Linked DNA regions of Xenopus tropicalis. The protein of the gene in region 1 purifies or fractionates together with the protein of each later gene. This does not show direct contact. Links are inferred from orthologs where the notes say so. Each region holds a gene or a part of one and is shown on either strand. Other genes may lie near its edges.

Region 1 (10,655 bases):
GTGTGGAGGCCATAGGGCAAATAGTAAGGGTAAATAATATAGTACAAAGAAGCTTCCTAATCCTCCACCCCATCATTGTCCCTGCCCCTTGGGCTAATAAGATTCCCAACCAATCTGTCCATTCAGTCAGAAAGTGTAATTAAGGGTCAAAACAATGTCTCATTAAAGGGGCCATAATGCTGACACAATAGCGCTGCCCTGTACCTTGTGTAAATGGGGCTTTCTACTGATTAAAGCACAATGTTATGAGAAATCAATCAGCCTACTCCCCCCGCTATCTTCCTTTCTCACTGCCGTCTCCATCTTATCTTTCTGTCTCCTTCCTCCACTAATGTCCTTATTTGTCCCTACTGTCTCCATCTTGCCCTACTGTCCCCATCTTGCCCTACTGTCTCCATCTTGCCCTACTGTCCCCATCTTACCCTACTGTCTCCATCTTGTCCTACTGTCTCCATATTGCCCTACTGTCTCCATCTTGTCCTGCTGTCCCCATCTTGTCCTACTGTCTCCATCTTGCCCTGCTGTCTCCATCTTGTCCCATAACCCTGCCACCCTGTATGCGCGTTGGCGGGCCAAGCTATCCAGGTTGCCTAGGAACCCGACTGGCTTGGCCCGGGACTGGCAGAACGGGGCCGACACACTGGGGAAATGGCCCCGTTGTACTTTGTGGGGAACAGAGTGGGGCTGACACGCTGGGGAAATGGCCCCGTTGTACTGTGTGGGGAACAGAGTGGGGCCGATACGCTGGGGAAATGGCCCCGTTGTACTGTGTGGGGAACAGAGTGGGGCCGATACGCTGGGGAAATGGCCCCGTTGTACTTTGTGGGGAACAGAGTGGGGCCGACACGCTGGGGAAATGGCTCCGTTGTACTGTGTGGGGAACAGAGTGGGGCCGATACGCTGGGGAAATGGCCCCGTTGTACTTTGTGGGGAACAGAGTGGGGCCGACACGCTGGGGAAATGGCTCCGTTGTACTGTGTGGGGAACAGAGTGGGGCTGACACACTGGGGAAATGGCCCCGTTGTACTGTGTGGGGAACAGAGTGGGGCCGATACGCTGGGGAAATGGCCCCGTTGTACTTTGTGGGGAACAGAGTGGGGCTGACACGCTGGGGAAATGGCCCCGTTGTACTGTGTGGGGAACAGAGTGGGGCCGATACGCTGGGGAAATGGCCCCGTTGTACTGTGTGGGGAACAGAGTGGGGCCGATACGCTGGGGAAATGGCCCCGTTGTACTGTGTGGGGAACAGAGTGGGGCCGACACGCTGGGGAAATGGCCCCGTTGTACTGTGTGGGGAACAGAGTGGGGCCGACACGCTGGGGAAATGGCCCCGTTGTACTGTGTGGGGAACAGAGTGGGGCCGACACGCTGGGGAAATGGCCCCGTTGTACTGTGTGGGGAACAGAGTGGGGCCGACACGCTGGGGAAATGGCCCCGTTGTACTGTGTGGGGAACAGAGTGGGGCCGACACGCTGGGGAAATGGCCCCGTTGTACTGTGTGGGGAACAGAGTGGGGCCGACACGCTGGGGAAATGGCCCCGTTGTACTGTGTGGGGAACAGAGTGGGGCCGACACGCTGGGGAAATGGCCCCGTTGTACTGTGTGGGGAACAGAGCGGGGCCGATACGCTGGGGAAATGGCCCCGTTGTACTGTGTGGGGAACAGAGTGGGGCCGATACGCTGGGGAAATGGCCCCGTTGTACTGTGTGGGGAACAGAGTGGGGCCGATACGCTGGGGAAATGGCCCCGTTGTACTGTGTGGGGAACAGAGTGGGGCCGACACGCTGGGGAAATGGCCCCGTTGTACTGTGTGGGGAACAGAGTGGGGCCGACACGCTGGGGAAATGGCCCCGTTGTACTGTGTGGGGAACAGAGTGGGGCCGACACGCTGGGGAAATGGCCCCGTTGTACTGTGTGGGGAACAGAGTGGGGCTGACACGCTGGGGAAATGGCCCCGTTGTACTGTGTGGGGAACAGAGTGGGGCCGACACGCTGGGGAAATGGCCCCGTTGTACTGTGTGGGGAACAGAGTGGGGCCGACACGCTGGGGAAATGGCCCCGTTGTACTGTGTGGGGAACAGAGTGGGGCCGATACGCTGGGGAAATGGCCCCGTTGTACTGTGTGGGGAACAGAGTGGGGCCGACACGCTGGGGAAATGGCCCCGTTGTACTGTGTGGGGAACAGAGTGGGGCCGATACGCTGGGGAAATGGCCCCGTTGTACTGTGTGGGGAACAGAGTGGGGCCGACACGCTGGGGAAATGGCCCCGTTGTACTGTGTGGGGAACAGAGTGGGGCCGACACGCTGGGGAAATGGCCCCGTTGTACTGTGTGGGGAACAGAGTGGGGCCGACACGCTGGGGAAATGGCCCCGTTGTACTGTGTGGGGAACAGAGTGGGGCCGACACGCTGGGGAAATGGCCCCGTTGTACTGTGTGGGGAACAGAGTGGGGCCGACACGCTGGGGAAATGGCCCCGTTGTACTGTGTGGGGAACAGAGTGGGGCCGACACGCTGGGGAAATGGCCCCGTTGTACTGTGTGGGGAACAGAGTGGGGCCGATACGCTGGGGAAATGGCCCCGTTGTACTGTGTGGGGAACAGAGTGGGGCCGACACGCTGGGGAAATGGCCCCGTTGTACTGTGTGGGGAACAGAGTGGGGCTGACACGCTGGGGAAATGGCCCCGTTGTACTGTGTGGGGAACAGAGTGGGGCCGACACGCTGGGGAAATGGCCCCGTTGTACTGTGTGGGGAACAGAGTGGGGCCGACACGCTGGGGAAATGGCCCCGTTGTACTGTGTGGGGAACAGAGTGGGGCCGACACGCTGGGGAAATGGCCCCGTTGTACTGTGTGGGGAACAGAGTGGGGCCGACACGCTGGGGAAATGGCCCCGTTGTACTGTGTGGGGAACAGAGCGGGGCCGATACGCTGGGGAAATGGCCCCGTTGTACTGTGTGGGGAACAGAGTGGGGCCGATACGCTGGGGAAATGGCCCCGTTGTACTGTGTGGGGAACAGAGTGGGGCCGATACGCTGGGGAAATGGCCCCGTTGTACTGTGTGGGGAACAGAGTGGGGCCGACACGCTGGGGAAATGGCCCCGTTGTACTGTGTGGGGAACAGAGTGGGGCCGACACGCTGGGGAAATGGCCCCGTTGTACTGTGTGGGGAACAGAGTGGGGCTGACACGCTGGGGAAATGGCCCCGTTGTACTGTGTGGGGAACAGAGTGGGGCCGACACGCTGGGGAAATGGCCCCGTTGTACTGTGTGGGGAACAGAGTGGGGCTGACACGCTGGGGAAATGGCCCCGTTGTACTGTGTGGGGAACAGAGTGGGGCCGACACGCTGGGGAAATGGCCCCGTTGTACTGTGTGGGGAACAGAGTGGGGCCGACACGCTGGGGAAATGGCCCCGTTGTACTGTGTGGGGAACAGAGTGGGGCTGACACGCTGGGGAAATGGCCCCGTTGTACTGTGTGGGGAACAGAGTGGGGCCGACACGCTGGGGAAATGGCCCCGTTGTACTGTGTGGGGAACAGAGTGGGGCCGACACGCTGGGGAAATGGCCCCGTTGTACTGTGTGGGGAACAGAGTGGGGCCGACACGCTGGGGAAATGGCCCCGTTGTACTGTGTGGGGAACAGAGTGGGGCCGACACGCTGGGGAAATGGCCCCGTTGTACTGTGTGGGGAACAGAGTGGGGCCGATACGCTGGGGAAATGGCCCCGTTGTACTGTGCGGGGAACAGAGTGGGGCCGACACGCTGGGGAAATGGCCCCGTTGTACTGTGTGGGGAACAGAGTGGGGCCGACACGCTGGGGAAATGGCCCCGTTGTACTGTGTGGGGAACAGAGTGGGGCCGACACGCTGGGGAAATGGCCCCGTTGTACTGTGTGGGGAACAGAGTGGGGCCGACACGCTGGGGAAATGGCCCCGTTGTACTGTGCGGGGAACAGAGTGGGGCCGACACGCTGGGGAAATGGCCCCGTTGTACTGTGTGGGGAACAGAGTGGGGCCGACACGCTGGGGAAATGGCCCCGTTGTACTGTGCGGGGAACAGAGTGGGGCCGACACGCTGGGGAAATGGCCCCGTTGTACTGTGTGGGGAACAGAGTGGGGCTGGCACGCTGGGGAAATGGCCCCGTTGTACTTTGTGGGGAACAGAGTGGGGCCGACACGCTGGGGAAATGGCCCCGTTGTACTGTGTGGGGAACAGAGTGGGGCCGATACGCTGGGGAAATGGCCCCGTTGTACTGTGCGGGGAACAGAGTGGGGCCGACACGCTGGGGAAATGGCCCCGTTGTACTGTGTGGGGAACAGAGTGGGGCCGACACGCTGGGGAAATGGCCCCGTTGTACTGTGTGGGGAACAGAGTGGGGCCGACACGCTGGGGAAATGGCCCCGTTGTACTGTGTGGGGAACAGAGTGGGGCCGACACGCTGGGGAAATGGCCCCGTTGTACTGTGTGGGGAACAGAGTGGGGCCGACACGCTGGGGAAATGGCCCCGTTGTACTGTGTGGGGAACAGAGTGGGGCCGACACGCTGGGGAAATGGCCCCGTTGTACTGTGTGGGGATTAGACTCCCTGTACACAAGTGGTGTGTATATAGATAGATAGATAGATATATATATTAAGGAGATTTATATATAAAATGTAGTAGTGAATCCATGTATTACAATGAGGGATTCTAGGGTCCCACACCTCATTACACCCAGTTGCTACTATATGTACATCACTGGGCCGCAGAGAGAAGGAAAGGTTTCCATTAATTAGACTGATAGCTGAAGCGATGGGAATCCGAGCTAAAGGGGCGCCATAATGGAATCTTTCCTCTCAAGCTCCCCCATGTGACCTGCCTGCTACACGCTCAGCCCCGCCCCGGACACGTGACACGCATATCCCCCTGAACGCACCGCAAGGTTCTCCATCTTATTCTTGGTGGGCGGGGCTGGCTCTAGAGGGGCTGGCACTGTTGTCACTAGTAACGGTGACGTCCGAAGGCGGTGACGTCGGTGGGACTGCGGAGGTATAAATACTGGAGCCGGGCGCGTTGCGACCTCAGTGTCAGGCGGAGGGAGGCGAGCTCTACCGAGAAACGAAGAACAGACCGCCACCATGGGATACGGGGTGAGCTGGGACTTGGGCAACATGGCCTCTGGCTCTTCTGTGTGAATAGTGTGGGAGAGACAGCAGTGTGGGAGAGACAGCAGTGTGGGAGAGACAGCAGTGTGGGAGAGACAGCAGTGTGGGAGAGACAGCAGTGTGGGAGAGACAGCAGTGTGGGAGAGACAGCAGTGAGTATGGGGGGGTGACAGAGACAGCAGCGAGTGTGTTAGACAGTGAATATGGGAAGAGACAGTATTGCGTTAGGGGAGACAGCAGTGTAAATGGGGGGGTAGGGAAGAGACAGGGTATATATGGGGGGGGGGTAGGGAAGAGACAGGGTATATGGGGGGGGGTAGGGAAGAGACAGGGTATATGGGGGGGGAAGGGAAGAGACAGGGTATATATGGGGGGGTAGGGAAGAGACAGGGTATATGGGGGGGGTAGGGAGAGACAGGGTATATGGGGGGGGGTAGGGAAGAGACAGGGTATATGGGGGGGGTAGGGAAGAGACAGGGTATATGGGGGGGGGTAGGGAAGAGACAGGGTATATGGGGGGTAGGGAAGAGACGGGGTATATGGGGGGGGGGTAGGGAAGAGACAGGGTATATGGGGGGGGTAGGGAAGAGACAGGGTATATGGGGGGGGGTAGGGAAGAGACAGGGTATATGGGGGGGGGTAGGGAAGAGACAGGGTATATGGGGGGGTAGGGAAGAGACGGGGTATATGGGGGGGGGGTAGGGAAGAGACAGGGTATATGGGGGGGTAGGGAAGAGACAGGGTATATGGGGGGGGTAGGGAAGAGACAGGGTATATATGGGGGGGGTAGGGAAGAGACAGGGTATATATGGGGGGGGGTAGGGAAGAGACAGGGTATATATGGGGGGGTAGGGAAGAGACGGTATATGGGGGGGTAGGGAAGAGACGGTATATGGGGGGGTAGGGAAGAGACGGTATATGGGGGGGGTAGGGAAGAGACAGGGTATATGGGGGGGGTAGGGAAGAGACAGGGTATATATGGGGGGTAGGGAAGAGACAGGGTATATGGGGGGGTAGGGAAGAGACAGGGTATATGGGGGGGTTAGGGAAGATACAGGGTATATGGGGGGCCTCTGGAAGAGACAGTAGTGTGTGAGGGGGCAGTATGGGACAGGTAGCAGTATAGATATGGGGTGTATGGAAGAAACAGTGCTTATGGGGGGGGGGGGGGGGGTGACAGTAGCCTACATGGGAGAGACAGCAGTGTAAAGACAGACAGCATCAAAATGGGAGAGACTGTGGGGGCACAGGAGCAATGTATGAGATGTGCGGGTAGGTTACATGGGTACAGGGCTCGGTGCGGGTAGGTTACATGGGTACAGGGCACGGTGCGGGTAGGTTACATGGGTACAGGGCACGGTGCGGGTAGGTTACATGGGTACAGGGCACGGTGCGGGTAGGTTACATGGGTACAGGGCACGGTGCGGGTAGGTTACATGGGTACAGGGCACGGTGCGGGTAGGTTACATGGGTACAGGGCACGGTGTGGGTAGGTTACATGGGTACAGGGCACGGTGTGGGTAGGTTACATGGGTACAGGGCACGGTGTGGGTAGGTTACATGGGTACAGGGCACGGTGTGGGTAGGTTACATGGGTACAGGGCACGGTGCGGGTAGGTTACATGGGTACAGGGCACGGTGCGGGTAGGTTACATGGGTACAGGGCACGGTGCGGGTAGGTTACATGGGTACAGGGCACGGTGCGGGTAGGTTACATGGGTACAGGGCACGGTGCGGGTAGGTTACATGGGTACAGGGCACGGTGTGGGTAGGTTACATGGCTACAGGGCACGGTGCGGGTAGGTTACATGGGTACAGGGCACGGTGTGGGTAGGTTACATGGGTACAGGGCACGGTGCGGGTAGGTTACATGGGTACAGGGCACGGTGCGGGTAGGTTACATGGGTACAGGGCACGGTGCGGCATTACTGCAGGGTGGGGGTATATCTGGCATTACTGCAGGGTGGGGGTATATCTGGCATTACTGCAGGTTGGGGCATTACTGCAGGGTGGGGGTATAACTGGCATTACTGCAGGTTGGGGCATTACTGCAGGGTGGGGGTATAACTGGCATTACTGCAGGGTGGGGCGTTACTGATACACTGGGCTCCGGCTGTATATGTAGGAATTGCCCCTTGTGGTGCCAGTGTGGGGTGCCTGCGTATGTGTATGGGGGGCACATTGTGCTGTTGTTAATGGGAGGTGGGTGTTATGGGGCAGTGAGAGTGCCCTTTCCCTGGGGGGGTGTAGATGGGGGTAACTTGGCATAATGTAGATTTGTTCCCTGCCCCGTTCCTGCCCCATTCCTGCCCCATTTTTGCCCCATTCTCATAGCTGGACACTGGGCCCTGGGATTCCTGCAATGCTCATTGGAGCCGGGAGTGACTCCTACTGGGTGTCTGGTCCCAAGAGCTTGCACACAGTTGCTGTGTTACCTAGGAGAAGGCCAGTAGTTTGTGGCCATGTTGTGGGCAGACACCCTCCTCTCCAGAGGCCAATTATATTACACTCCATTCTGTTTTCCTGGGGGAGGGGTAAGAATTGATGCCCCGGGGCAGTTGCTTGTTGGGAATCTCAGTGCAGAAATACCAGTTCTCCCATTGCTGCACATTCCCAAACATGATGGGACCTTATTGCCCGTGCAGCCTCCCATGGAACCCCAATTCCTTTATAGGAGTCTCCCTTTATCTGAGACAGGAAGTGAGATGTGCAAAGGAAACTGCATCCCCCCTGTGTGCATATAGCGGCTATGATGCATATGATCCAAACTTACTTGGGGAGATCTACCCAGCAGTGTGAGGGGGATGTGCTCTTGGTGCATGAAAGGGTTAATCCCTCCGTGCCCAGCTCCCTATGGGGGTGCCCTGCCCAGACAGTTAGGGTTCAGCCGGCGGCACTTGGTGGAGTTGTCAGTAGGACTGCGGGGAGTCAGGGGCTGCATTATGGGCAGGGCATACAGCTGGCGCACCCCGGCACTTGGCAGGCACTGCTGGCTTTGCCCCAAGCTGTGAGGATGCGGCATGGCAGCCAGCTTCCTTGTGTTCAATGTGGCAGTGCCAGGGTCTGCTTCACCCAGCAGCGCCGGCCTCCCTCCCTTCATTACTGCAGCACTGACTGCTGCCCTGGCACACTTGCTGTGCCCTCTGCCCTGGCACTGCCAGCCGCCACTTGCTGGTCTTGTAGAAGGAAGATGGTGGCAGATAGATTTAAGGGCAGTTGTATATGATATGGGTCAGGGCAGAGTGGAAAGGGTGGGGGGGGGGGCAGAAGGAATTAGCCCCCTTGCTGGTAGTGTGTGCCTATTAGTCAGACCCCCTGGTTGGCACACATTGCCAGTGTTGGCACCGCTTCAGCACTTGTATCCAGCCTGCCAGGGGTTAATGCCTGAGAATGTGACCCCCCCCCCCAGACACTGTATATCTGTCACTCTGCTGGTGAGAGGGTTATTTATAGACTGGGGGGGGGGGGGTGCTGGGAATCTTCTGTGTATTCCCTGCAGGAGCATCTTGGCGCAGTCCCTTGCCATCTACTCTGGCGCTGGCAGCTTGGTGCCCGGGAAGCTAATTGGCCGCTGTGTTTAGAGGGCAGTAGGGGGGAGGATTTGTACCCCCCTAGCCGGGTTCTGTTTCCTTGGACTGGGGCAGAAGGGAGGTGGGGGGGGCAGATCCAGTTACTGAGCCTGAGAGGTACCATTGTTCCTGGGACTGGCGTAAGCCCAGGCTGGCACGTCAAGGTTACTACTGTCCCAGCATTCCTGGGGGGGGGAGGGAGGGGGCGTAACCTCTTCATTGCCGTCACATTTGTACTCCTGCATGTTCTCTATGCAGTTGGTCGGTATGAATGCTGGGTGTCGGCTGATAAGTGGCATTAGATAATCCCTTGCCTGCTGTGGGGATATTCATGCCCATAAAGGGACTCCGGACCGTGGGAGGGCAATTACTCACTGGACTTTCACCCCCCCCCGGGGTATTTGATGTAATAATCGGGGGTTAAACCCTGCCATAGAGAACATTGTGCAATGTAGGTGTGATCCTTCCGCCTGAACACCCAGTATAAAGTCCCTGGCATCTGCCTGCCCCGGGGCCATGTTCTGCCATGGCACATCCCTGTGTGCCTATTGGCTGGCTGGGACTCCCTGTGCCCTGGCACTCCTCCCTTGGCTTGTAGCTGCCCCTACTGGGTGCCAGTCCTGCTGCCACCTCCTTGGGAAAGAGGCTTGATGGAACTTGCCACCCTGGCAGCACCTTGCCCCATGATGCCCTAGACGTGATGTCACTGATCCGTCTGTCCTTGGGCAAGGTCGTTGGCACTGGGGCCTGTGCCTTCATTGGGAGGGTTACTGGGAATACTGGTGCTGCATCCTGTGCCCCTGGTAACTGGCGCCTTATTAAACTCCCAGGGGCTTCTGGGAAAATGGGCACTACGTGCATGGCCTTGTTCTTCCCGGTGTTCCAATCTGGAGGGTTGCTGGGAGTTGTGCAGCCTCAGCAGTTTTTCTAGGTTACACACAAGATCTAATTGGATACAGCCCCCCCCCCCCCCCCCCTTAGCTTGGAGATGTAATGAGAGCAGCGCTGAGCCCATCAATAACTAACTGGGGGGGGTCACTGCGGCTACTGTACCGTCCCAGGGGGCCAGCTCGGCTCTGTAAGTGCTGCCGTGAATGTAGGCCGGGGCTGGCCCATTAATCTTAGGGAAGCCCCATACCTGGGGGGTGGGCATTCTCCTCCCTAGAGCTGGGGCATCAGTAGGGGTCAGATTATGATCCCCAGTGCAGGGGTTTATAGAGCCGGCAGTTAATGATTAGGCTACTGGGTATCTTTATGGCTTGCTGTTGCTAGGGCTGTTGTGTTGGGCTACGGCTGTCAGTGGCCCTATATCCCATGGGAGGGGGGAGGGTTTGTCTCTTTATTCAGCTGTAGGTCCCCCCACCCCCGGGTGCCTCGGCATGACAGTGTGGGAAGGGTGGGTGGCCCTTAGGGGGCTGTTCTAGAGCACCAGTATTCACTGGGATCATGTTCCAGCTCCTTCCCATAATGCTGTGCCGCTTGTTTGAGCACCTGTTGTGTGGGAAGGGGCCCGTATTGCACCCCCCCCCGACTATCTGTGCAGATGGTACTTACTGTGTATTCTGCACACTCCCCAATATAAGTATAAGTAGTATTGCATGCTGGGATACGGAAGCTTTGCTCCTGGGGGCCCCCCTGTTCTCTCATTGCATGCTGGGATACGGAAGCTTTGCTTCTGGGGGCCCCCCTGTTCTCTCATTGCATGCTGGGATACGGAAGCTTTGCTTCTGGGGGCCCCCCTGTTCTCTCATTGCATGCTGGGATACGGAAGCTTTGCTTCTGGCGGTCCCCCTGTTCTCTCATTGCATGCTGGGATACGGAAGCTTTGCTTCTGGGGGCCCCCCTGTTCTCTCATTGCATGCTGGGATACGGAAGCTTTGCTTCTGGTGGTCCCCCTGTTCTCTCATTGCATGCTCGGATACGGAAGCTTTGCTCCTGGGGGCCCC
Region 2 (10,555 bases), on another chromosome or scaffold:
TATACATGCTGCATTGATCTATATATATATATTATATATATATATATATATATATATATATATATATATATATATATATATATAATGTGTGTGTGTGTATATATATATATATATATACATACACACACACACACACACACATATATGCAGGGGGTGGATTATGATGGGGGCTAGGTGGGGGCTATTGGGTTCATGGCAATTAAAAGGATAATATTGAGATATCGAGCTGTCTTTATATTTAGCTGTATTGAGCGTGTTTACATATGAGGAGAGGGTGAATGTGTGTGTAATCTACTAAGCAACTCTCAGTACAAAGAGCAAGTTAGTAAGATTACAGGAATATATAACATACACAGGTATAGAATATATGTAATAAATCTCTGTCGGGCTTCTGTGCAGAAATAGTGCCAAGGCCCCACGATCATTATCAGGGAATGAGCAGTATTTATTGAGTGAGAGTATAAATAGAGCTTGAGTAAGTGAGGGCCCATACACACTGGCCTTATTACTCGCTGTGTCACTAACATCCCTACCTGGGCTCATTTGCCCCTATCCAACCTCCCACTGACTATGTGAATTTGCACTACTTTCCTCCCTTATGCTGCCCATACACGGTCAGATTGTAGACTTCTTCCAACAAACGTTTGGATATCAATTGTACATTTATGGCGAAGACACACAGAGCTACTTGTCACAGCTACTAACCTCCAGAGAATCCCCTGCCATAGACAATACTGAGAATTGCCTCTGCTAAACACCAATAGAGACAGTTATCAGTAAATGATCAGCATTGTCTGTTTTAGTAGCTTCTACTAGTAGCTCCGTGTGTCTTCACCCTAAAACCTTTCAAGAGTCTGCCTGCACTTCCTCATGTGTTGCTCCTTTGTACATTCTACATGCTATATACATAAGTGAGAAGAATTAAGAAGTGGCTGAATGATGTTCCTTTCCCTGTAGGTTCCACAATGGCGTGCATGCTGAGACAGACCATCAGAAGCCTCCCCACGGCTTGTAAACTCTGTAAGTCTCATTTGTTTTGCTTTTTCTACAAACCAGTAATGTGTAATGTAAGGCAAAGCTGATTTATAGCGAAGGAGTGACGCTCACCTATTAGTTTCACCTTCTCTGTAATCTCTTAAAGGGGATATAAATTATATAATATGATATAAATCAGCGATCCCCAACCAGTGGCTCGGGGGGAACATGTTGCTCCCCAATCCCTTGGATGTTGCTCTCAGTGCCCCCAAACCAGGGAGTTATTTTTGAATTCCTGACTTGGGGGCAAGTTTTGGTTGAATAAAAACAAGATTTCCTACCAAATAAAGCCCCTGTAAGCTGATAGGGTGTATAGAGGCCCCTAATAGCCAATCACAGCCCTTATTTGGCTCCTCCATGAACTTTTATGGTGCTTGTGTTGCTCCCCAAGTCTTTTTACATTTGACTGTGGCCCAGGAGTAAGAAAGGTTGGGGGCCCCTGATATAAATTGATTTTAACATATTAAGGGTGTTCCTTTTATCACTTTTTTCAACTTAGTGATTTTCAATGATTACAGAGTAGCAAAATGGCAGAAAATGTTTTTGTCAAGCAACTGTACAAAGTATTTTCTGATATTTTGTGACCATTTACACTTCAATCTAAGTGCACTATGCTATTATCCTTTATTTTATAATCACCTGTATGTCACCCCTTTTATTTTGTGCTTCTTTTCCAGCTTCCAGATCCATTAGCTGCTCTTCCCATCTCCAGGCCCCAGGTAATATAGACAGAAGCCACACATGGGCATTGCTGGTAGGAGAATTTGGTTTCTTGGATATGAATTCAGTGTCTATTAGGAAGCATCATTCCACATAAGGTGGACATACCTCGCCAAGGGTGTGGATCTTCTCCCGATATCCCCACCTACGGGTGGGCGATATCGGGCTAATTCGGCCATTTGTCCCTGGGGCCAAACGATCGAATTAGAATGACTGGTATAGGTCGGTTGGTTCAGGGACCACATCAACGAGCCTATGCAGCCCCCGATCCGACTGATTTTTAAACCTGCCCGATCGATATCTGGCCAATTAAAGGCCAGATGTTGATCGGGCAGGCCCGTCTTTAGTGCCCATACACGGGCTGATAAGGTCCTAGGGGCCCGATATCGGCAGCTAAAATTGGCCCGTGTATGGCAGCTTTAAGAGTCTGTGCTCTGAGTTTCTATTCATCTGAGCTGTGCCGAGTCCGGCAGTATTGTCAGTATAAATACAAACATAGTGATAAAAAAAACTACGACAGCCAACACGGAATACAATTCTTACAGTGATGCTGTGCGCCCAGAATGCAGTGCAGCCGTATAGAGGCCATTTATGTGAAGCTTTGCAGCTCCCTTTGCTCAGCATTACATTTAAAAAGTATTGAAATATACAATTTAATTTTGCATTCCATTGTATAATCCCTTTCTGTATTTTAGCTGTGCAGGCCAAAACTAAGAAGACCTTGGCCAAGCCTGGAGTTAAAAATGTGGTGATTGTGGATGGAGTGCGGACTCCTTTTTTGCTCTCAGGGACCACGTAAGTGTTTGTTTTCTTGGAGTTAGTGTTTATATCATTCAGGCATCAGAGCGGCTTAGCACTCTAACAACTACATTTAACATAATTGTTGCTCACACTGCACAAAAGTAATTTTGCCATGTTGCCAAACAACCACGGACCAAATCACAGACCACATTAGGATGATCTTAAAGCAACACTGTCATGGGAAAACATGGTTGTTTTTTTTTTTTTTTTTCACAACCCATCAGTTAATGGAGCTGCATTGTAATCTGTTTTTCCCATGGCATTAGAATAGCACTCAGTAGTAAGAAATCCAAGTCCGGCTTGGGACTCCTCCAGTTACATGGGAGTAGGAGAAACAATAGGTTAGCTGAAAGCAGTTCTAATGTGTAGCGCTGGCTGAAAGCTCAGACTCAGGCACACTTTACTGCTGCGCTGCAAGTTGGAGTGATATCCCCCCCCCTCACCCCCAGCAGCCGATCAGCAGAACAATGGGAAGGGAGCAAGATAGCAGCTCCCAGTAGGTATCAGAATAGCACTCAATAGTAAGAAATCCAAGTCCGGCTTGGGACTCCTCCAGTTACATGGGAGTAGGAGAAACAATAGGTTAGCTGAAAGCAGTTCTAATGTGTAGCGCTGGCTGAAAGCTCAGACTCAGGCACACTTTACTGCTGCACTGCAAGTTGGAGTGATCTCCCCCCCCCCCCCCCCCCTCACCCCCAGCAGCCGATCAGTAGAACAATGGGAAGGGAGCAAGATAGCAGCTCCCAGTAGGTATCAGAATAGCACTCAATAGTAAGAAATCCAAGTCCGGCTTGGGACTCCTCCAGTTACATGGGAGTAGGAGAAACAATAGGTTAGCTGAAAGCAGTTCTAATGTGTAGCGCTGGCTGAAAGCTCAGACTCAGGCACAAGGCACTGAGATGGCGCCTACACACCAATATTACAGCTACAAATACATTAGTTGGTTCAAGAATAAAAGGTTAAATGGCAGAGGGAATTATTTGCTGTGTAACAGTGTCATTTAGAAATAAAAAGTGCCCCATAAATATCATGGCAGTGTCCCTTTAATGTTCAGCCCTGGGGTCTACAGTGAAATATGGGGCCTTGCAGAGCTGCCATGTGTATAACACAAAGCCTACATATACATATCTAGTAGCATTTTCTTCATGTGAATCAGTCACCTAGAGCTGGCTAATTATAGATATATTTTCCTCTTGCAGATATGCAGATCTGATGCCTCATGACTTGGCCAGGACAGCACTGCAGTAAGTTTTGTACTCGATAAATACTTATAAATACTTTGTGGTGTCAATTTTTTACATGACAACCCACACACCAAACTGTTGTGCTCTCAGGAAACATAATCCAAACAGAACAATGTTTTACATGTATATTATGAAATGGTTTGTGATTAGCAAAGGCCAAAGTTCAGCATGATCATTTACTTTGTAATGGAAACTTTTCCACACGGTGGAAGGGCATTAGGTTGGATTGGGAGAATTGCTGCCCTCCAGTGGTGGATGTGAGAATCGTGTCTGAGAGTCATTAGAGCGTCAGTTGTTCGCTTGGAAGACAGAGTTCTGGAGAGAAATAGGGTGGAACTAGTCCTTTAGAGCACAAGTGCAATGAGCATGGTGCAGGGAATACTGTCTTTCTTAATTTCTCTTTGCCAATTAGGGGATTGCTGCAGAGAACCAACGTTCCCCGGGAGGTGGTTGATTACATAGTGTATGGAACTGTAATCCAGGAAGTTAAAACCAGTAATGTTGCACGAGAGGTAGGTATTGCTCTGTCCTTCTGTTAATGGGAACATCTGCTCTACTTTGTCTTTTTTTTTTGTCTATAACCCTCATTCAAAAATTAAAAAATATGTATTTTGTTTCCTAGGCTGCTCTGGGGGCTGGTTTTTCAGATAAAACTCCAGCGCACACAGTCACGATGGCCTGCATCTCTTCCAATCAGGCAATGACTACAGGTAAGGCTTCAACTCTGAACTGTAAAACATTTCTCACATTTATAAATGTCCAGTATTTCACAGCACTGTGCAGTAGGGTGTTGATCTCAATCATACAAATACTATTTGGCACAGGAGCTAAAGAGGACCCTGCTCACTGGAGCTTTTTATGCTTTTCCCAGTGAGGATCATCTCATTCACTCATTTATATTTCTTTTCCACAGGTGTTGGGCTGATTGCATCGGGTCAGTGTGATGTGGTTGTTGCTGGTGGGGTGGAGTTCATGTCTGATGTCCCTATTCGTCACAGCAGGAAGATGAGGAAGACCATGCTGAGCCTTAATAAGGCCAAAACATTGGGCCAGAGGCTTTCTGTGATATCTGGAATCCGGCCTAACTATTTTGCACCAGAGGTAGCAATATACAGGGCAGTCAGGGTTTGTTTGGGAAAGGTACCTTCTCCTCCTCCTCCTCCTCCTCCTATAGTTGCTATGAAAAACCACAAAGATGTGATCAAGTGTATAGAGCAAATACTTCCAATGTCTTTGTTCTATATTGTTTGACATTTTTAATCAAAACATTAAGCACAGTGAATTTTCAGCACATTCTCTACTTATGTTGAACATGGTTGTATATTATCTTTGTCTTTTTAATGGAGAGAGATTGAGATATAGAAAATACATTTTAACGTTAGGTGAAAAAAACTTTCCCCAGCCGATCTTTGTAAGAGAATGCACACAGGGCCTTTCAACGAGGGATGCACCAAATCCAGGATTTGGTTTGGTATTCGGCCTTTCTTGGCAGGGTTTGGATTTGACCCGATCGACGGTCAAAATAGGTTTTGGTTCAGTATTTGTCTGAATCCCTTAGAATGGATTCGGGGGTTTGGCCGAACCCAAAAACTAATGACTTATTGCACTAAATAAGCTGGTGAATGCCTAGGGAGAATGATTAATGACTGTTTTTTTTAACCCCCATAGCTCCCAGCAGTGGCTGAGTTCTCCACCAGTGAGACCATGGGACATTCAGCAGACAGACTCGCCGCAGCATTTTCTGTGTCTCGGGTGGAGCAAGATGAATACGCTCTGCGCTCTCACACACTGGCCAAGAAGGCGCAGGACGCTGGGCTGTTGTCTGACGTTATCCCCTATAAAGTACCAGGTAGCACCTCATTCTCTCGCTTCCTTTCCTCTGGCTGCTAGGGAGGGAAACACAAGGGCCCCCTGGAAATTCATTCTAAACTTTCTAGAATGAATTCTCTGCATAGTTTGGGTCACAGTTGTTTTTATCAACAGGCAAACAAACGGTTGATAAGGATAATGGAATCCGTCCATCCTCTATGGAGCAGATGGCGAAGCTGAAGCCTGCCTTTATTAAGCCTCATGGTTCCGTCACTGCTGCCAACTCTTCATTTCTGGTAAGTTTTCTCCCTTGGCGATACGATATGTTTCTTGTAGTATATAATGATCTCTACAATTTCTACAACATAAGTGTGAAAAAATAATAAGAGACTAACAAAATGGTTCAAATGGAGTCCAGAAGATGTGTGGTATTTTATTTGTACCGATATGCAAGTTCCACTCCAACATATAGGCACAGAGTCAGGTTTCATATAATCCCCAGACTCAAATTGTCTTAAAGAGATACTAACACCAGAAATTCAACCATTTTTTACGATGTGGGGCCTTTATGCTTTTTATAACTTTGCCACAAAAGTATTTGCCCAATGATTTTACATTCCCTATCTGATCCCCCATGTTCCTCTATGAGGGGACGGCCATATTTGTTCAGCAGGAATCCGTTAGCATTAGAAGCTGTAACTGACAGGCTGAGAAGGGACAGTCAGGTTGGCCAAACAGTCAGGTTTTACGGTCTTTAAGTAACAATTACTTACAAAATCAACTGACCCATAGGGGACTGTTTATGCAGTTGAAAAGATGATTTTTAGTGTCAGTATCACTTTAAGGTGGCCATACAGTAAGATTTGCTCATTTGGCTCACCTTTGAATGAAGGAAATAGGGAACGTCGGAGCGAGGGGATGCAGTCCCTGATCCAATGAAAAATCAAGCCTGTCCAATCAACATCTGGCCAATTTTTGGGCTGATATTGATCAGGGGGAGACCTGTCGGAGGGCACATACACAGGGAGATAAGCTGCCAAGTCGGTCTTAATTGGCAGCTTTTCCCCCTCATCTCGTTAATAGATTTTCTTAGTTAATAAAACTCTAGTATACGTAATATGCACCTTTAGAAATGAAATAGGAGCATAGTTTAGTCTGTACAGTGTTCTGTTAGAGTACAGACAAGGGAATCTGCAGGAATCCGTACCTGTGTGAAAATAATCAGACTCTTGCACCACAGATTAACTGGCAGGTACTGAGTAATACAGGGCAAGAGGTTATGGCTCACAGAGCTAAAAGTGAAATGGTAGCAAAACCTTAGGATACACTTGTTGCTCCAATTGAGGATCTTGGGACCTGGTATTACTGTCACTTCCTGCAGAGAGCGCTAATGTGCTACTGGGACTTCCCAGTCAGTTAATGGCTTTATTGTGCTTCAGACGGACGGTGCCTCTGCCGTGCTGATCATGTCGGAGGAGAAAGCCCTGGCCATGGGATACAAGCCTAAGGCCTACCTTCGGTAAGAGCATTTTGCTTTCACTGCTGGCTTCTCTTGTTTATTTTAGAAAAGGAATTAAGTGTGTGGGGTTTGTTTTTTGTCTTTTACAGGGACTTTGTTTATGTGTCTCAAGATCCCAAGGATCAGCTTCTGCTCGGGTATGTACTGCTAATATCCAGAGACCTTCATTCTGTTTGTTTGTGCAGCTCCATTAATGGAAATAGAGCTTCTTGGTATTATACCCCCAAACAGTGTAGGTCGCTATAAAAATATATTTATAAACGGCTCATATGTAAAACCCTGCTTCATCTAAATAACCCATTTTCATATAAATATACTTGTTTAGCAGTATGTGCCATTGGGTAATCCTAAATAGGAAACTGTCATTTTATGTACTAAGGGCCGCCCCCTGGGATCATAGGATTCACAGTGCACACAAACAAGCCAAGGCACACATACATGCTAGGCCTCATCAGCCAATGAATGAACACTGTGCTTAAACCCTATCACACTGACTGCCTTTCCCGTTCCAGCCCCACATACGCTACCCCCAAAGTACTGGAAAGGGCAGGACTGACTCTCGCTGACATTGATGCCTTTGAGTTCCATGAAGCATTTGCGGTAAGCAAGTCCATTGGTTCAAACTTGTAGCCAAAATTGGCAGATATTTAATTTGGCAACATACAGCGGTGGTCCAAATCAAGGAGATCCTTACATTTAACCCTTAGACCAGTAGTTGGATCATACTTGAACTGATCCACTGTGTGGTGCCCCCTGAGGAATGGAGTCATCTACACGCACCTCGGTCACCTTCATAATATTATTCAGGGTGGCACAAAACAGAGGGGTGGTGGTTACTGGTGGCAAACTTAGGGGGCTGTTCCTGCTGAATTGTGCTTAGTACAGGGGAATCCCTATGTGCCATAGTTTTATGGTATCTCTCTGTACAGGCTATGGGCAAACTTAGGGATTCCCCTGTACTAAGCACAATTCAGCAGGAACAGCCCCCTAAGTTTGCTCATAGCCTGTACAGAGAGATACCATAAAACTATGGCACATAGGGATTCCCCTGTACTAAGCACAATTCAGCAGGAACAGCCCCCTATGTGCCATAGTTTTATGGTATCTCTCTGTACAGGCTATGGGCAAACTTAGGGGACTATTCCTGCTGAATTGTGCTTAGTACAGGGGAATCCCTATGTGCCATAGTTTTATGGTATCTCTCTGTACAGGCTATGAGCAAACTTAGGGGGCTGTTCCTGCTGAATTGTGCTTAGTACAGGGGAATCCCTATGTGCCATAGTTTTATGGTATCTCTCTGTACAGGCTATGGGCAAACTTAGGGGGCTGTTCCTGCTGAATTGTGCTTAGTACAGGGGAATCCCTATGTGCCATAGTTTTTATGGTATCTCTCTGTACAGGCTATGAGCTATTTCTGCTGAATTTTGCTTAGTACTATATGTAACCAATCCCTTTGTCCCACAGGGCCAGATCCTGTCTAATCTGAAAGCCATGGATTCTGACTGGTTTGCACAGAATTACATGGGGCGAAAGGCAAAGGTAAGTAGTTCCATATTTGTTCCCTGTCAGTTCTGAGCTCAGTGAGATCCATCACAGAAAGTTATTTTATTTTATAATCAAAATACCCTCTTACCCTCCCCTTACTGATACCCTCTTACCCTCCCCTTACTGATGCCCTCTTACCCTCCCCTTACTGATGCCCTCTTACCCTCCCCTTACTGAGACCCACTTACCCTCCCCTTACTGAGACCCACTTACCCTCCCCTTACTGAGACCCACTTACCCTCCCCTTACTGAGACCCACTTACCCTCGCCTTACTGAGACCCACTTACCCTCCCCTTACTGAGACCCACTTACCCTCCCCTTACTGATGCCCTCTTACCCTCCCCTTACTGAGACCCACTTACCCTCCCCTTACTGAGACCCACTTACCCTCCCCTTACTGATGCCCTCTTACCCTCCCCTTACTGAGACCCACTTACCCTCCCCTTACTGAGACCCACTTACCCTCCCCTTACTGAGACCCACTTACCCTCGCCTTACTGAGACCCACTTACCCTCGCCTTACTGAGACCCACTTACCCTCCCCTTACTGAGACCCACTTACCCTCCCCTTACTGAGACCCACTTACCCTCCCCTTACTGATGCCCACTTACCCTCCCCTTACTGATGCCCTCTTACCCTCCCCTTACTGATGCCCTCTTACCCTCCCCTTACTGATACCCTCTTGGGGCATCTCTTACAGGTTGGAGCCCCTGCTCTGGACAAGTTTAACATGTGGGGGGGCTCGCTGTCGCTGGGACACCCGTTTGGAGCCACAGGTTGCCGGCTGGTCATGGCTGCTGCCCACAGGCTGAAGAAGGACGGAGGGCAATACGGCCTTGTGGCAGCGTGTGCGGCAGGGGGGCAGGTACAGTACAGCTAAAGCCATTTCCTATAGGAATCTGTGCTCTTATAAATAAGTAGATCCGGCCTTGCTGAATGGCCTTATGTAACAGAACTAGGGATGCACCGGATCCAGAAGGATTCAGATTCGCCCAGATCCATGTTCCAGGCCAAACTGAATCAAAATTCTTAAAATCACATGTCTTTTCATTACATAAAGTTAAAAAAAAGCTCTTTAAAGGGGCGGTTCACCTTTACGCTGTTAGTATGTCATAAAATTGGCTAACTCTTAGCAACTTTCCAATTGGTTCTTATTTATTTGTTATAGTTTTTTAATTATTTGCCGCCTACTTCAAACAGTTGTGGTGCCCGAGGCCGCCACCATTCGCGTCCTTCCCTGGATGTGCATTTATGCTGCCCTAGGCCCGGGCCTTTATGGCCTCCCCACAAATCTGGGCCAATCTGTGAGGCTCCAGTTTTATTGTTATTGTTACTTTTTGTAACTTTTTCTATTCAGCCCCTCCCCTATTCATATATCAGTCTCTCATCCAAACCACTCCCTGGTTGCTAAGGTACCTTGGACCCTAGCAACCAGATAGCTGAAAATAAAATAACTAAAAAACTACAAATTAAAAACAAAGACCAATTGCGAATTGTCTCAGAATATCCCTCTCTACATCATAATGAAAGTTAACCCAAAGGTGAACACCTTTGTTAGATACAACAAAGAATTTGGTTCCGTATTCGGCTGAATCTTTCAGGACGGATTCGGGGTTCAGCCGGATGCCAGTGCACCCCTAAACAAAATTGGACATTTTTATATTAATCTTCATTTTGTTGTGATCAATGTGTAACCAAACCCTCTCTGTGCTGCAGGGACACGGGATGATCGTGGAACTTTACCCCCAGTAACGTGACACAAACCCATCGGACTCGTTATGGCTGACGCCAGTTTCCTGCACTAATTAACTGAGAAGGTCCCCTCCCCGTCGCCAAGAATGTCGCAGCACTGTAAATATTTTCTAGTTGCCTTGTCTGTG

Evidence for each region.
Region 2: the proteins of atp1a1 (region 1) and hadhb fractionate together in Homo sapiens (co-fractionation; 3 studies listed by BioGRID, with this or other methods). This does not show direct contact. The link is inferred for Xenopus tropicalis from reciprocal best matches to the Homo sapiens genes ATP1A1 and HADHB.

The regions. Positions count from the first base shown.
Region 1 is NC_030678.2:1,068,929-1,079,583, reverse strand, and holds the start of atp1a1 (sodium/potassium-transporting ATPase subunit alpha-1), read left to right. Parts: upstream 1-5,075; 5' UTR 5,076-5,113; coding exon 5,114-5,125; intron 5,126-6,144; exon of another isoform or gene 6,145-7,176; intron 7,177-7,222; exon of another isoform or gene 7,223-10,655. UniProt on the Homo sapiens protein: This is the catalytic component of the active enzyme, which catalyzes the hydrolysis of ATP coupled with the exchange of sodium and potassium ions across the plasma membrane.
Region 2 is NC_030681.2:154,403,023-154,413,577, forward strand, and holds part of hadhb (trifunctional enzyme subunit beta, mitochondrial), read left to right. Parts: intron 1-957; 5' UTR 958-965; coding exon 966-1,020; intron 1,021-1,712; coding exon 1,713-1,754; intron 1,755-2,450; coding exon 2,451-2,550; intron 2,551-3,755; coding exon 3,756-3,800; intron 3,801-4,212; coding exon 4,213-4,312; intron 4,313-4,422; coding exon 4,423-4,510; intron 4,511-4,713; coding exon 4,714-4,901; intron 4,902-5,468; coding exon 5,469-5,649; intron 5,650-5,783; coding exon 5,784-5,905; intron 5,906-7,048; coding exon 7,049-7,128; intron 7,129-7,217; coding exon 7,218-7,265; intron 7,266-7,640; coding exon 7,641-7,728; intron 7,729-8,592; coding exon 8,593-8,667; intron 8,668-9,375; coding exon 9,376-9,540; intron 9,541-10,391; coding exon 10,392-10,427; 3' UTR 10,428-10,555. UniProt on the Homo sapiens protein: Mitochondrial trifunctional enzyme catalyzes the last three of the four reactions of the mitochondrial beta-oxidation pathway.